Canis lupus familiaris: one gene and its partners. The protein of the gene in region 1 interacts with the protein of each later gene in a pairwise test. Links are inferred from orthologs where the notes say so. Each region holds a gene or a part of one and is shown in the gene's direction. Other genes may lie near its edges.

Region 1 (4,250 bases):
TGGCACCAGTATGAACAATTTCAGGCCTCACTGTGAAAGAGGGTCTACCTGTAATGTTGCTGGTTCTCATCTCTGAAAAAAACATTAATAGGCACCTAGGATTACTCCCAAGACCAGAGAGAGGCTCATAATCAGGCCAAGGCTCTAATCTTTCTTTCAGGGAGGCTCTCAAAGATTATTGCATTGTTGGGCAGCCCGGGTGGCTCAGCGGTTTAGCACCGTCTTCAGCTCAGGGCCTGATCCTGGAGACCCAGGATGGAGCCCCACGTGGGGCTCCCTGCCTGGAGCCTGCTTCTCCCTCTGCCTGTGCCTCTGTCTGTCTCTCTCTCTCATTAATAAATAAGTAAAATTTAAAAAAAAGGATTATTGCATTGTTGATCAATAATGAACAGGGAGCCCCTCGAAGGGATCAAAGAGCCCGTGTAGCTTGAGTCTCTCTTAACGGACTATATAAACATATCTTCTTGGACCTGGCTTCACAGTCCCTTAATTCTGAAGCACTATTTTTTGTTACCGTTTTAATATTTGCCTCAGATTGGCTGCTTGCATTCTCTCTCCAGAACCACTTTTCTACAGTCTGCTATGATGAAGTCATTGTGGAGTTTTGTGGGAACACCTACCTGATTTTTGTAGGACTCATTTTCAGTAATTTTGCTTTAATTTTCTCCTTGTACATTTTCACCCCCTCTAACAGCTCTTCCTTTCACTTTTCCCATTTTTCTTTCCTAGAATCAGCTTTTGACAAACTGCTTTTTACTGTCATCCGCTCATAATCTGCCACTGCTCCAAACATTCCCTTAATTTAACCAGTGATTTTAAAATAATCTGTTCTGTGAAACCTGTGATGAATGCCTTGATCTCATCCTCTTTATAAAGAGTCTCCAAAAATTAAAATGGTGATAATTACTAACTCCAGAACACATCAAGAAGTCTCCACTGCTCTCAGGCTGGGAAGCCATTTCCACCCAGCCTTTAGTTTCAGGTGTTCCCTTGGGTCTTCTGGGTCACCTTCAGAGACCGGGGACTCCTCAGCCCAAGTAATCAACATGTGAGCAACCTCAGTGAACATGTTACTCCTTCCCTAAATTCTGCAATCGGAGCCGCCTTTATCCGTCTCGCTGTTTTCGGTTCCCTATTTTCTCCTTGGCAGGAAATTACTCTTTTTTTTCTCTCACGCTGATCTTCAATACCGGAGTCCTTGAGGTCCCGGTTTAGGGGGGGAACTCTCCCAGTCAGCATCTCCCGGAGCTCAACGCTGCCGCGGTCAGACCCTCCCCCGCCCTGAGAAAGGGCTGGCGCGAGGCAGCGGCTCTCCTCTCCACAGCGTCCCCTTCCGCAGGCCCCGGCCCTGCCCCGCGCCCCGCAGACCAATCCCTGGCTCCGCCCCGGGAGCGGCACAATGGCGCCCTCGCGGCCCCGCCCCTGGACGCACGCCGCGGAGGCCCCGCCCCGCCCCGCCGCGCTCCTCGCGTCCTTCCGGCTCCGTGGTGGAAGTAGCCCTTCGCCGCGTCTTCCTGGAGAAGAAGGTGGGGTTCCGCGGGGAAAGCGGCCGGCGGTCACGCCAGCAGCCGGAAGTGGGGTGGGGGCGCGGGCTCTCCGGGCAGCGGCCCTCGGGTGCTGGGGTGCGGCCGAGCGGGGACTGGGCGAGCCCGGAGCAAGCGGGCTGCGGGAAACGCCGCGTGCGCCCGACGGGCGGGAGTTGTGCGCCGGGGCCGGCCGCGCGCCAGGCCCCGCCCCTCGGGGCCCCGCCCAGGGCGCGCTGCCAGGGGTTTCCATGGTGATGGTAAACAAGCCTCAACTGCCTCAGCTACAACTGCCAAGTTCCCCGCGTTCCACCCTCCTCTAGGTGCTCAGAGGGACGATCGAGGTGCCGGATGTGAAGAGCGGGAGCGTGGAGACCCGGAGCCCGAGGTGAGGGGCGGGACGGGCGGCGGGTCGGAGGCTGAGGGCCGCACCACTGGGACGGACCGAGAACCGGGCCCTCTGGGCTGGGGGCGGCGGGGCTGGGATACGGATTTGGGGGAGGCTAGGTCTGAAGTCAGGGGCCTCACCCACGGGGACCGAATGGGCATTGGGCACGCAGGGGCTGAGGGTTGGGGTCGGGAGAGGCAGGGGCTGAGGTCAGGGACTGGGCCCCCTGGGGCTGAGAATTGGGGTCACGGAAGGTGGGGTCAGAAGTCCACGGCCGTAGAGTCGGGGACTGGACCCCTGGACTGAGATCGCGGGTGCGGGGAGGCAGGCCTGAGATCAAGAGCCATCCCCTCGGGGACTGGACCGCTGGGCTGGGATTCAGGGCCGCGGGAGGCAGGGAGGGAGGAAAGGCCTGGTGCGGCCTCCGGGGTTAGCAGAGCTTGAGCGCCCTGCCAGAAATAGCGCGAGGGCACCTGACGACCGTGGGAGAGGGGCTTCATTTAAAAATGAAAGCAGTACTTTCACGTGGTTGAGTTGCACCAGACTGGTTGGCAACTGACTCCTCCCCCCTCCCACGTTCCCGCTCGCTGAGCCTCCACTTTCGGTCTTTGAGGCCTTTTCTTCCTCTCGGTGTGGCGTGTGAGTGCCGAGCGCCGGTCTCCGTTTTGTCTCCTGCTTTTAGAGGTATTGTGTCTGGTTTTTGGGTAGAAACTCTTTGGTTCTCGTTATCTCTGCCGGGTGACCACACTTACGCGGAGCGAGCTTAATCGGCCGTTTCTTTTTCCCTTGCCCTTTATTTCTTTGTATCCTTGAATGTATTTTTTGCTGGTTCTTGACTGCGCCTAAGAAACTTCTGGACTCTGCCGGCGCTTGCGCTGCGCCCTCTACCTTCGGTGTGCCCGCGTGGGTCCCTGAAAGTGGCGCCGGGCGGCCTGGTGACGCCGGCAGAGTCCGGGGACTCGCCCGACCCCGTCTTTTATAGACCGGGTTAGGAGGCCACAGGCCCCTCCCTGTTGGTCTGTTCCCTTCAGGAGCTCTCAGGTTCTCGCCGGACAAATCCCCAGACCCCGGAGAGCCCCTTCCCCAGCTCCAGCAGGAACCCCCTCCCCCGCCGCCCCGCGTCCCTCGGGCCGGGCCCGCCGGCCGGACTCTCCTCGCAGTAGTTCCCTTCCCCCGAGGCCTCAGGACGCAGGAACGTGCTTCCTTTAGCTCTCACAGCTACCTGGGGGTGTCCGGGCTCCTGTCTGCCCCGCGGCCGCGTGCGTGGCGGGAGCGGGGTCCGCGAGCTACGGCTCGCTGAGTGGGGGGAACCGCCCGCCGGGAAGGGGGCCCCCGAGGTGCCCAAGGTTAACGCCGCGCCTCAGGTCTCCGGAAGTTGGTGGCGCTGGAAGAGCTCTGAACACTTCAGATACTCTTTCAGTTCAAAACGTGGTCGAAATTCCCTATCTTAAATGTAATTCTATTACTTACAGTCATTTTTTTAAAGGTTAACGGTTTCTGAATTTCTAGTAAGAATGAAAATACTTCGGGTTCTCCGGTTAGACAAAAAAATGCGTTGGGGTATGTCAGTGAAAAGTGATGTTTTCAGTGTTAATTTCTAGTCAAGATTCTTCATTTTGAAGTGAGTAAATTTCTACTTATGAAGTTTGGGAGAGGTTGCTGATGTTACTAATTACTGGTCTTTAAGCAAGCCCATCTTTAGTCATCTCTTGTGCCTGTATGCATTTCTGTAATTTGATTAGATTTATTACATACTAGGTCTTTTTTATTTTAGGTTTTAAAATAATTTTTTAAAAAGATTTTATTTATTCATGAGAGGCAGAGACACAGGCAGAGGGAGAAGCAGGCTCCTCACGGGGAGACCGGGGGAGACCGATGTGGGACTTGATCCTGGGTCCTTGGATCACGCCCTGAGCCGAAGGCAGAGACCCTCAACCGCTGAGCCCCCCTAGGCGTCCCTAGTTTTTAAAATTTTAACATTGTTTTTGTGGTATTTTTTTGGCAATTTTTAAATTTTATTACTTTTTAAATTTTTATTCTTGAGAGACATAGACAGAGGGAGAAGCAGGCTCCACACAGGGAGCCCCATATGGGACTCGATCCCGGAACTCCAGGATCACGCCCTGAGCCAAAGGCAGACGCTCAACTGCTGAGCCAGCCAGGTGTCCCTGTAATTTAAAAAAAAAAATTAGCAGGTGACTGGTTTTCATTTAAAAGTCTTGCTACAGGGCAGCCCGGGTGGCTCAGCGATTTAGCGCCGCCTTTAGCCCAGGGTATGATCCTGGAGACCTGGAACCAAGTCCCACGTTGGGCTCCCTGCACGGAACCTGCTTCTTCTT
Region 2 (4,329 bases), on another chromosome or scaffold:
TTCTTTAAAGAGCAAAGCTGTGTATTGGGCGCCGACTGTATGCCAGGTACTTTACAAATGATATAGCATTAATTCATCCAACATGTATTTGTTGAGTGCCTACTATGTGCCAGAAATGTGGTTTTCATAAGAATTTTCAACACCATTTTATAAAAAAAAAAAAAAAGGATTCTCCTTCTGTCTCATCTCCAATGTTACACCTGAGCTCCTCAAGGAGGCCTACCTGGCCATCCATCTGATGCTGCCACCTTTCCCCTCCCCCTGTCCTCCCCTATGCCTTCCCTCTACCTGTTGGGGTCCTTTGTCCAGTCTTTATAGGACAGGTGACCAGGGTCCTAAGGTTCCCCGGGTGAAGAGCCAGACCAGGGCTGTATTTCTGCTGCCTCTTTACTGGCCCACGAAGGGGACATTTTTCATTCTGCATGGACCACCCAGTTGTCAATCCAAGGCCCTTGAAAACCCACACTGGCCTAGGCTGAGGGTCGGATGCCCGTGGCTTTCCCTGGAGGCCACTCCGTGATACTTTCCCTTTTCTATGCCCAATTCGAGGCACTGGCACACGTGGTGATGGTTAGTTTCCGTCAGAGCCCTCGTTTCGTCTGTAATTAGTGCTTATTTACTTCGCTAGTGTGCGATCTTTCTCCTTACACTAGAATACAGGCCTCAGGAGAGCAGGGACCGTGCCAGTTTGCTCACCTGCATGCGTCCTCGGTGCCCGCATCTCACCTGGGGTGCTCAGCCAATCCTGGGGAATGAAGGAAGGAAGGCGCATAGGGGAGGTTAAAAGAGGGGTTGGGCCCCCCCAGCCAGGAGGTGGCCGTGGCTGGTCTCTTCCCATCCACTCTTCTCCCAGTCATCTGGCTCGCTCTCCCTTTCCTGGGTGGACCCCTGACCCCCGGGGCCGTGGAGCCCTGGGCAGGCAAAGTGCCGCATCAGTTCTGAGTTTAATGAAGCCCATCCAGGGAGAGAGGTGAGCTCACTGGGCCGCAAACTGCTAACCTAGCCCTTCTCTCTGGCCAGGAGCCCCTGACCCCACTGCCCCCCGCTCCCCCTCCACCCTGGGGACCTGCTGAACCCAGCTCAGGAGGGATCCCTAAGGCCGTGACGGTTGGGTGGGGCCTGGAGGGTGGGGGCCTGGGTGTGAATCCCAGCTCCTGTCTTCCTGGTGGGCTCTGGACCGACCCCCTCTGACCCGCAGACTGCGTTTCCTCCAGGCCCCACCGGTAACAAAGGTACTAACTTCACGAGCTTGGTGGGTTGGCTAGGACACGGGAAGCCCAGAGCTTGGCACACGGTAAGCGCCCCCCAAAAATGTCAGTTTGGGTCCACATCGGCGGTTCCGGGCAGGGCCCCCGGCAGGTGCAGAGCTTGTGCATGAGCGGCGGGCGCGACGGGGCAGGTGCAGGTGCAGGTGCCCCCGGGTCGTCCCGGCCCCGCCCCCACCTGCCCGGGGGCCTTGGGCGCCGAACCCCGAACCCAGCGCCCGCGCTCCGCTCCGAGCCGTTGCGCTTGGGCCGCAGAGGAACCCGGCGCTGGGCCCAGGGTGTGGGCGCCGGCAAAGTCGGCCCAGGCAGCGGGCCTGCGGGCAGGTGTCTGCTGGGGTAACGGGGGGGGGGGGGGGGGGCACCCCGGGGTCTGCCGTCCGGAGCCCCAGGGCGTGGGGGCGGGGTCCCTGGGAGGCCCCGGGACGGTGGGCGGGACCCCGAGGGCTGACCCCGCCCCTGCCGCGCCTAGCACCTGCCCCCGGCCCTGACCCAGCACCTGCCCCAGGCCCTGACGTAGCACCTACCCTAGGCCCTGACCTAGCACCTGCCCTGCACCCTGCCCCAGCACCTGCCCCAGGCCCTGACCCAGCACCTGCCCTGCACCCTGACCCAGCACCTGCCCCGGGCCCTGACCCAGCACCTGCCCTGCACCCTGACCCAGCACCTGCCCTGGGCCCTGACCTAGCACCTACCCTAGGCCCTGACCTAGCACCTGCCCTAGGCCCTGACCCAGCACCTGCCCTGCACCCTGACCCAGCACCTGCCCCAGGCCCTGACCCAGCACCTGCCCTGGGCCTTGGCCTAGCACCTGCCCTGGGCCCTGACCTAGCACTTGCCTGCCAGGTCATGACCTAGCACCTGCCTGCCGGTTCCTGACCTAGCACCTGCACCAGGCCTTGACCCAGCACCTGCACCAGGCCCTGACTCAGCACCTACCTGCCAGGCCGTGACCTAGCACCTGCACCGGGCCTTGACCCAGCAACTGCCCGCCGGGCCCTGGCCTAGCACCTGCGCCAGGCCCTGACCCAGCACCTGCCCACCGGGCCCTGACTTAGCACCTGCGCCGGGCCCTGGCCTAGCACCTGCCCACCAGCCCTGGACTGGGCTGAGGGCTGCAGGTGTCACGGGGGCGTGGCGACGGGACGGCGGGGGCTGCGGGGAGAGCCCGCCCTCCCCCTCCAGCTGTTCCCAGATGTCATTCTGCCCGCCCAGGCACCCGGTTCCTGAGCTCAGGGGGGTTCCACGGTTACTAAGCTACTGGTTTTTGTTGACTTTCAAATATTTTCTTCTACGGGAGAGGGGGAGGGGGGCAAAAGTCAGAAGAGAGCAAATAAAAGCAAATCAAAATAAGCTCCCCCTCCCCAAAAGAGAGCGGTGCTCCATCCTCCCCTCACACCCACCGCGAAGGCCTCTGAGCACAGCCACCTTGCTGAAGCAACAGCCACGCAGAACTGACCTGCGTCTGCCCATCCTCATCTCCCTCTCCGGTGAATGAGGGGTGGTGGTGGATGGTCCCCCTGTCTTCAAGCCCTGGGCGGACGAAGGGGCCTCCGGAAAGACAGGAGGAGGATGGCCAGTGGAAATGGGCTCCCTTCATCCTCAGCCCTGGTGGCCAAGCGCCCCTCCGCCCTGGGCCCATTCCCCAGATACATCTGGATCCACCAGGACACACCCCAAGACAGCTTAGACAAGACTTGCCACGAAATCTGGAAAAGAGTTCAAGGCCTGCCCGAGGCCTTGCAGCCCAGGACCGTGAAGGAACAGCTCTCTGCCCCGGTGGCTGGGACTCCGAGAGACAACGGGCTCAGCTTCCAAGAAGGGTGAGTGTCCCCGTCTGTGGCTGGCACCAAGGGAGGAGGGAGGAGCCGAGGTCCGACCTTCTGGGGGAATGTTCTGGCCCGTTGTTGAGTCTGGTTAAACCCTTAGGCTGTATATGCCTTCTCTCCACCTGTTGGGGTCCTTTGTCCAATCTTTATAGGGTGGGTGACCAGGATCCTGAGCTTCCCCGGTGAAGAGCCAGACCAGGGCTGTATTTCTGCTGCCTCTTGACCAGCCCACAAAGGGCTGGTGTTTTTCCCTTTGCCCAGGCCACCTAGGTGTAGATCCGAGGCCCTCGAAAACCCTCACCGGCCTAGGCTGAGGGTCGGATGCCCGTGGCTCTCCCTCCAGGCAGCTCTGCGATACGTTCCCTTTCCCGCTCCCAGAGGCTAGGCACTGTCACAGATGAGTCTGGTGGTTTTAAACCACATCTGGAATTCCCTAATACAGGGAGCAGCTGTCCCATTCAGCCTCCACAGAAGCCGCTGCAAGAGCGCACATCAAAATATTTACTGGGAAGGCATTGACATATTCAGAGGGCACAATAGAAAATTAAAGTGCGGGAGGATGGCTGTAAATAGCCCTTTTCCTAGTTGGGGAATCCTGTGCCTGGGAAACACAGAGCTCAATGTTGGGCAGATATGATTGGGGCTGGAAATTCGCAGGGAAAGGAAGGAGAGAGCGCGTCAGGAAAAGCGAGCGAAGCGCCACGGCCGTCAGTGCCACTGTGAGCCCCCAGTCATGTCTGGCATCCTCAGAGTGGGCTGCAGACGTTAATTAATCCTCCCAGGGTCCCTAGGAGGCAGGTATTGGTGTCCCCATTTTACAGATGGATTAAGTGTTAATAATTAAGTGCTAATTGAAGACTAAGTGATAATTAAGTGTTGCCTGCTCCAACACATGCTCCAGTTCAAGTCGGAGATGCCGGATGTGGGGTGGGGGGGCATCCAGGCAATCACCAACGATGTCTGGTTTCGGGGATTTCTAGAAAAGAGCTGGGAAGAAAGGCGAAGTGTGTGCAGGTGCCCCAGGTGCACTCCCTGCTGTCCCCTCTCGGGCTGCCGACAAAGGTGGAAGGCACCCGGCTGTCACTGCTCACCCTGCCCTGTGCCCAGCACCATGCGGCTGGAATGGGAATGGCCCGTCTACTGGCCGAATCCTGCCGCCAGCCCCCCAGTGGCGCTGAGCCCCCCCTCTGCTGCCCATTGCCATCTGCTCCGGGATGGAGCCCTGGCAGGGGGCCTCG
Region 3 (3,562 bases), on another chromosome or scaffold:
GGGAAGTCACTATTAATTTGATCTTCCCCTGGTCTGGATCACTTCACGTTTACTTTACAGTGAGACTAACCATGGCATACCTCCCTCCCCAGTAACAGCCATAACAACAGTGGCTCCCATTTGTTGAATGTTGGCTGTGAGCCAGGCCCTGGGCTAACCAAGGGCTTTTACTCAACATGAATTCCTGAAGTCTTAATAGTGAACATATGACATTCATACTATTTTCCCCTTTCAGGGCTTGAGACTCATTAAATGCAAAGTCTGTTGATTTTACAGACAAGTAGGTTGAGTGGAACTTGTTCACCCAGGGCCATGGGGGTGTGACCTGACCACACTCTAACTTAGGTTAGAGTTGGGATATGCCAAGCCACCCACCCACACACACACTGCCTGCCTCTATCAAGACAGCTCCCATGCTGGAGGCTGCCTCAGAAACCCCACTCAAGGTCTTAATTGTGTTTGGGGCAGTTGTTCTATTATCCTTTTCCGCTCAGTCTTTAGCAGCCCTGGCAGGGAGGCATTTCATCTGATTTACAGATGAAGCAACTATAAGGACTGGCCAGAGTGAGTTAATGGCCAAACTAGGACTTGACCCTGGGCTTTTCCACCCTATCAGGATGGAAATACAGTATTTTTTGTGTCTCTTGGTACCTGCCCCTCAAGGGCTTTTCCCTTGAGTCCCTTTCAGAGCCGCTAAAAGTTGTTCAAAAGCAGGTATTTAAAAAAAAAAAAAAAAAAAAAGCAGGTATTTTTTTTTTTTTTTTTCAAAAGCAGGTATTCCTCAGGACTCCTAATTCTCTTCAGTGTCTTAAGTTTGGATAGGGAGGATACCTGTATGGTGCCTGGGTCCCGTCTCCAGAAACGAGTTTGGTAATTCCTGAGTGGCATTAGGGCTATTCTCTTTTCCAGTAGCATCCAGGTGATTTGGGTGTACAGGCTGAATCTGTGAGCCCTGGGGTGCCACAGGTCTGGGTCTCAGTTCCAAAGAGCACATAGAAGGTACTCAGTAAATGGAAGCTGTTGGCAACTGCTACTCTTGGTCAGGTGTGTTCTAGAGCACCACTTTGTGCCAGAACCAGCCCAGGACACACCTGTGCATCACCTAGAGGAAGGGAACAGAACGTTAGCAGCAAAACTGCACTTGTGAAAAAGCATGGGCTGTTGCCTTGTCCTGCTCTCTGGGTAGAAGCCTGTGGGTAAGCCTGATGGCTTTAGAGAAGGACTAGGGGAATAAAAGAACCACAGTGTTGATGAAAACAGTCCACAAAACTGTCAGAAGGGGCTGGTTAATTATGGCAACCATTCTGTAAATATTATATAGCCATTAAAAGAGAACACTGGCCCAGAAAAACGTTAGAGAAACATTAAGTGAAAAAAGCCTTCCAGAGAGTATGTAGCATGATTCCATTTGTATTAAAAATCACACACATCGGGATGCTTGGATGGCTCAGCAGTTTGGTGTCTGCCTTCAGCTCAGGGCTTGATCCCGGGTGCAGGGATCAAGTCCCATATTCGGCTCCCTACAAGGAGCCTGCTTTTCCTTCTGCCTAGGACTCTGCCTCTCTCTCTGTGTCTCAGAATAAATAAAAAATTTAAAAAAATCTTAAAATAGAATAAATAAAATTTATTCTTAAATTTATTTATTGTTAGAATAAATAAAATCTTAAAAATCACAAATCTGTGTTGATTTCAACAGCACATACACTAAAATAAAATTGGAACGATACAGAGAAAATTACCATGGCCTCTGCTTGAGGATGACACGCAGATTCGTGAAGCGTTCCATATTTTAACTATGACCAATTTCCCATGTGTACCTCTAAGATTTTTCCATCATATCTCAAAGTAAATGCTTTAAGAAAGAAAAAAATTCATACAGATCTTTCTAGAAATACATAAATTCAGTTCGGGTCATCTCTGGGAAGGAGGAATGGCAGTAAGCAAATAAAGGGATTCTTAACAATAAATTCTTATTCCTCTGAAGTTTTTACCATGAGCCTGTGTTTCTTTGGAATTGGGGAGAGGGTATGAAGTGGCGTACCAAGAACAGATAAGAGTTAAAAACCTAACCATTGGGAACCTCCCCATGTCCTGTCAGCAGCTATCAGCAGCTGTCAGCAGCCGCTTTCCCAAGTCCCATTTTCTGAGGACTGGCTCAAGAATATTAAGAGCAGTAAAAAGAGCAGTTTCCTGAGTTTTTCTGCTTAGGAGAACTATCATTCTTTTCTCAAATCCTGGCCTACATAATACCTGACAAGAAAAAGCCCAAGTTGTAATGTACCATCTCTTGCCTCTTTTGTTATCTCCCCGTAGACAAATGTTTATGGGTCAGCCCAGAGACGAAAAATGAGACCATTTGAAGGCTTCCAGCGCAAAGCCATTGTAATTTGTCCCACTGATGAGGACCTAAAAGATCGAACAATAAAGCGAACCGACGAGGAAGGAAAGGATGTCCCAGATCACGCGGTCCTAGAAATGAAAGGTAGGAGATGAGCCGTTCCCAGGGGGCCAGCACAGCAGGCTCCTCCAGAGAAAAGCTCCTTCCGCAGTCCCTTCCTCCCCAGCTCCTGGCTTATTCCTTTTTTGATCTTGTCCATTCTTCCCTTACTCCTGTTCTGCCCTTCCTTGTCTGGTGCAGCTGTGAATGGAAGAGCTGCTGGCAGTCCTGTAGCACAGTTTTCAGACTAGTTGGGGCTGGGGCAGCATGAGGGAGAAGATGTGTGGGAAAAGACAGTGAGAGCCCCGCACTCAATACCACCAGTGGGGTACTGAGCAGGCTTCAGTCTCCTCCTCTGTAGAAATAAGAATGCTGGTTCCACGTGCCTGGCCCACCTCCTGGGGAGGCTGGAAGGAGTGTTTAAATTTGGTGGCACTTAGCCACCTCTTCAGAAGAGAGGAGGGTCTTTGTTAACTCTTGATCATTGTCAGAAAGATTGAGACTCTTCTCACTTTGTTACTCACTTCTCATCCCCTCTACCATCTCCCTTCTGGCAGGCCAGTGTCCTGGGGGTGTAGGGGACCAGACCTCAGAAGATAATGACCTCTGTTCCCTCTGGGGCCCTGACTTCTTCCTAGCCAACTTCACGTTGCCAGACGTCGGGGACTTCCTGGATGAGGTGCTGTTCATTGAGCTGCAGCGGGAAGAAGCAGACAAGCTGGTGAGACAGTACAATGAGGAAGGTCGCAAGGCTGGGCCACCCCCTGAAAAGCGCTTTGACAACCGTGGAGGTGGTGGCTTCCGTGGCCGAGGCGGTGGTGGAGGCTTCCAGCGCTATGACAACAGAGGCCCACCAGGGGGCAACCGAGGAGGCTTCCAGAACCGAGGGGGTGGTAGCGGTGGAGGAGGCAACTACCGAGGAGGTGAGACATCTCAAACAGGGCTCTCTCCGCTTTTGGCTCCCAGAGCAGGGTTGGGCTTTGTGATTGCTTACTCAGTCAATAGATGAGACTTCTGTAGGACTAGCTATGGGCTGAATTCTGGTGGAGAACCACAGCAAGTCCAATTCTGGGCCCTCAGGGGAACTCTCCTGCTGTCTTGCTTCCCCTGGGCATTGTTCCTGAA
Region 4 (3,213 bases), on another chromosome or scaffold:
GTGGCTCTTCAGCAACTTGATGGTGGTGGTAGGCACAAAGGGAGGAAGGGTGAGGGGACAGGTTGAAGTCAGAGTCGGTGCCTTCAGTAGGAAGGGTAGCAATACAAAAGGCCACCTTGCTACTGTCCCCCCAAATTTGGTGCTAGTAGGATAAGGAAGGACTGTGAGAGTGTATGAACTGTGCATCAGGAGCCCTGGGTTATCGGACTGCTAGGTGGAACCAACAGTGAGTGAGCTCAGGAACAACCCGAGCTTCTGGACTCCCTTGGCAAGAGCCACTACACCTGGGCATGACGGACAAAGGGCTGTATCTGTATCATCTTTATACCAAGTTAACCACCTTCAGCTACTGTTGAGTGGTTTTGGGGCCTCTAACCACAGGCGACTGTCCTCTTGAAGAGAGATAATGCCACAAGGGAGTACGCTCGGTGTGCTGGTTTCGAGCCTCATTCCAGACAGGCGTATTTTGTTCTCTGCTGATCACCTATTTCCTGAAAGTTTCTCTGAGAGACCCTGGTGTTTATGCATTAGGATATTAGGATTTTGGTTGTATCACTCATCAGTTTTTCCTTTTCCCTTTAGCTCCCATTTGATTTTACATGGAAGATGCTAAAAGACAAATTCAACGAATGTGGTAAGTGTTTGAGGAAGGCTTTCTAGGTGCTTCCATGTGTTGTGGCTTCAGAAGTCTTAGCTTGTTAGTGATGCATTTGTGGGGTGCAGCGAAGCTCCCATCCTGGTCTTCACAGCCACTTGCCGTGACTCAAGGACCAGTGGGACTTGCCATTTTTCTGCCTGTGCAAATATTCAAGCCGGTTGTTGAGTTTCCTCTTATGTGTCAGACACTTCCTATGTGTGTTCTCATTTCAACCTTATCTTTCTCCTTTTATGGTTTTTGAAAGGAGACGATGTCCCCATTTTGCAGATGAGTCAGGAAAAGTCATGTTCCCAAGGTCACATGGTTTCTCCGTGACAAAGCTGAGTAAAATAAAAACATCTGAGATGAGGTTGCTTTCTACCACTGTACTGTTGGTTCATGCCTCAAAGAGCACTCACCCAGAAGTTCCCAGGGGTGAGCTTGTCTGTGAATGAGGTGAGGGGCTCTGGTTTTGGTTTTCTGGCCACACCAGGCCACCATTCTGAAAGGCTCACTTTGTGGCTGAAAGGAAGTGAAGTTGTCCCTGGGTGAATCCCTGCTCCTGACTCCCACCACCTCTGTTCTTTAAACCATGTTAAGTGGGAGCCCCAGGCCTAAGCCACAAGTCCAGGTGGCTTGCTGGGTCAAGGCCTCCTCAGTGTTTTTTCATTTCCTGTTTCACTGATAGCTCAGATTGCACCACTTTGCTGCTTCTCCTGGTTCTTCTCTTAGGGCAGCTGTTGAGCCATACGTGCCTTCTTGCTCTCTCTCCATTCTTTAGTTTGTAGTAGGTATTCTGAAAAGTCATGTTGGATCAGGCTGCTCTCCTGCCTCAGATGCCTGGAGGTGCCCATCTGCTAATGAGAAGCTCACTCTAGTCCCTTTGTAACTTAGTCCGTCCTTTTTCATCTCTCTCCTGTCTCTGAACCCGGAGTTGCAAGTGCCATTCTCCAAAAGTGCTTTATTTTAAGCTGTTGTAGTGAGAGCTTACCTTCTGGTGAGCTTAAGTATTTTAGAACTGTCCTGAGAATCCCTCTAGATGTTGACCTTCCCTTGGGCTGAGTTAATGGCTCTAGAAACGAGGGCCATCTAACATAGGGCTACGTGGTCATGTCCTTAACTCTTTCCCTTATAGACTTGTTTCATGGTGCTTGACACATACCTGGATTCTTAATCAGTGCTTGAATGAATATGTGAACCCCACTTTCAAATTAGGATGCAGTCTATGTGTGGACAATACAGAATGTCCCATTATTTCATGATGGCCTTGTAAATACTCTGAAGTCTTGAAGATGAAGCACCTATAAGGTTGGCTTCACACAGCCACCTTTATAACTTTCTCAAGTGTATGAGTATGCATTTGAAGCTGCCATGAAGGCTTATCATGGGTCAGATGGTGGTTCTGTTGGCAGAAGAATGGCAACATGGCCAAGGGCCATAGTCGCTGGATTCCAGCTATTGTGTTCTGAGCATTTGTGTGCCAGGGCCGCTCTCCCTTTTGACTCTGTCCACCGAAATCCAACAGGTGATCTGGACTGAGTGGAGCCCAGACTGAGGCTGAGCTCTGGGTTTGCCTGATGAGTTGTGGTCTCTTCTTCCCTCCCTGTGCCCAGGCCACGTGCTGTATGCCGACATCAAGATGGAGAACGGGAAGTCCAAGGGGTGCGGTGTGGTTAAGTTTGAGTCGCCAGAGGTGGCTGAGAGAGCCTGCCGGATGATGAATGGGATGAAGCTGAGTGGCCGAGAGATTGATGTTCGAATCGATAGAAATGCTTAAGCAGTTGCCTTTTTTAAACATCGATACCAGACCTCTGAATTTGTATTTTTTCTTGTTAACCATTTTAATTTGTTGGCTGGATGTATAAAGATGTTTAAAAAATTCAGTTGCTTTTTGGGGTAATTTGAATTACTTTTTTAATGACCGGGGTTCCATTTGACTGTTTGCATTGAGATTGCAATGTGCGCAATTTTTTTTGTAGTTGTGGCATCTTGTTGACATCGAATATGACTTTGATAATAAATACCAGTTCCTGAAAAGATGCTTGCTTTTTTGCGTGTGTGTTGTGGGGCACCCCCTGAGGTTTGAGGAGCTAAAGCCAGTCTTCTTTCTACCCTTAGAACTGTGACCACTGGGGGGTCTCATTCCCATTCCTCCTGAGCATGAAGGACATGGACCCTGGCCACTCGAGGAGAACTCTCATGGAAACTGAGTCCTGAGTGGACTTGAATTCTCCAGTGCTGGTAACAAAGCACTTGGATATTACTGGTCCTGAGAGCCATTCTCTCTCCCTCCTGTACAGTTGCTCTTTGGGGTACAGAAATTGCGTCAGGCTTATTTCCTGTTTGGCTTTTGTTACAGTCTTATTTCGGCTGCTATAACAAAAATACCATAAGCTGGGTGGGCTTATAAACTCAGACATTTATTCCTCAGTTCTGGAGGCTGGGAAGTCCAAGATCAAAACACAGTCCATGGCAGCTTTTCTTTGCTACAGCAGACCAAGCACGGTGCGAGTTTCTGAGCATATTTAGTCCTGTAGTGGTTTAGGCTGACTGTGATTCCTGGGTTCTATTAGAAC

The links.
Region 2: the proteins of HNRNPF (region 1) and C15H1orf94 interact in binary tests that used the Homo sapiens proteins (3 or more experiments, as listed by UniProt). The two-hybrid records come from large-scale screens. The link is inferred for Canis lupus familiaris from reciprocal best matches to the Homo sapiens genes HNRNPF and C1orf94.
Region 3: the proteins of HNRNPF (region 1) and HNRNPUL1 interact in a two-hybrid assay, tested with the Homo sapiens proteins (3 studies listed by BioGRID and IntAct). The link is inferred for Canis lupus familiaris from reciprocal best matches to the Homo sapiens genes HNRNPF and HNRNPUL1.
Region 4: the proteins of HNRNPF (region 1) and HNRNPM interact in binary tests that used the Homo sapiens proteins (3 or more experiments, as listed by UniProt). The two-hybrid records come from large-scale screens. The link is inferred for Canis lupus familiaris from reciprocal best matches to the Homo sapiens genes HNRNPF and HNRNPM.

What each region holds. Positions count from the first base shown.
Region 1 is NC_049249.1:3,803,247-3,807,496, forward strand, and holds the start of HNRNPF (heterogeneous nuclear ribonucleoprotein F), read left to right. Parts: upstream 1-1,438; 5' UTR 1,439-1,526; intron 1,527-1,840; exon of another isoform or gene 1,841-1,846; 5' UTR 1,847-1,911; intron 1,912-2,450; exon of another isoform or gene 2,451-2,595; intron 2,596-4,250.
Region 2 is NC_049236.1:7,759,736-7,764,064, reverse strand, and holds the start of C15H1orf94 (uncharacterized protein C1orf94 homolog), read left to right. Parts: upstream 1-1,483; 5' UTR 1,484-1,589; exon of another isoform or gene 1,590-1,601; intron 1,602-2,108; 5' UTR 2,109-2,756; coding exon 2,757-3,085; intron 3,086-4,329.
Region 3 is NC_049222.1:113,451,061-113,454,622, reverse strand, and holds part of HNRNPUL1 (heterogeneous nuclear ribonucleoprotein U-like protein 1), read left to right. Parts: intron 1-1,679; exon of another isoform or gene 1,680-1,792; intron 1,793-2,313; coding exon 2,314-2,482; exon of another isoform or gene 2,483-3,075; coding exon 3,076-3,360; exon of another isoform or gene 3,361-3,562.
Region 4 is NC_049241.1:53,439,357-53,442,569, forward strand, and holds the end of HNRNPM (heterogeneous nuclear ribonucleoprotein M), read left to right. Parts: intron 1-582; coding exon 583-634; intron 635-2,162; coding exon of another isoform or gene 2,163-2,176; exon of another isoform or gene 2,177-2,250; coding exon 2,251-2,414; 3' UTR 2,415-2,676; downstream 2,677-3,213. UniProt on the Homo sapiens protein: Pre-mRNA binding protein in vivo, binds avidly to poly(G) and poly(U) RNA homopolymers in vitro. Involved in splicing.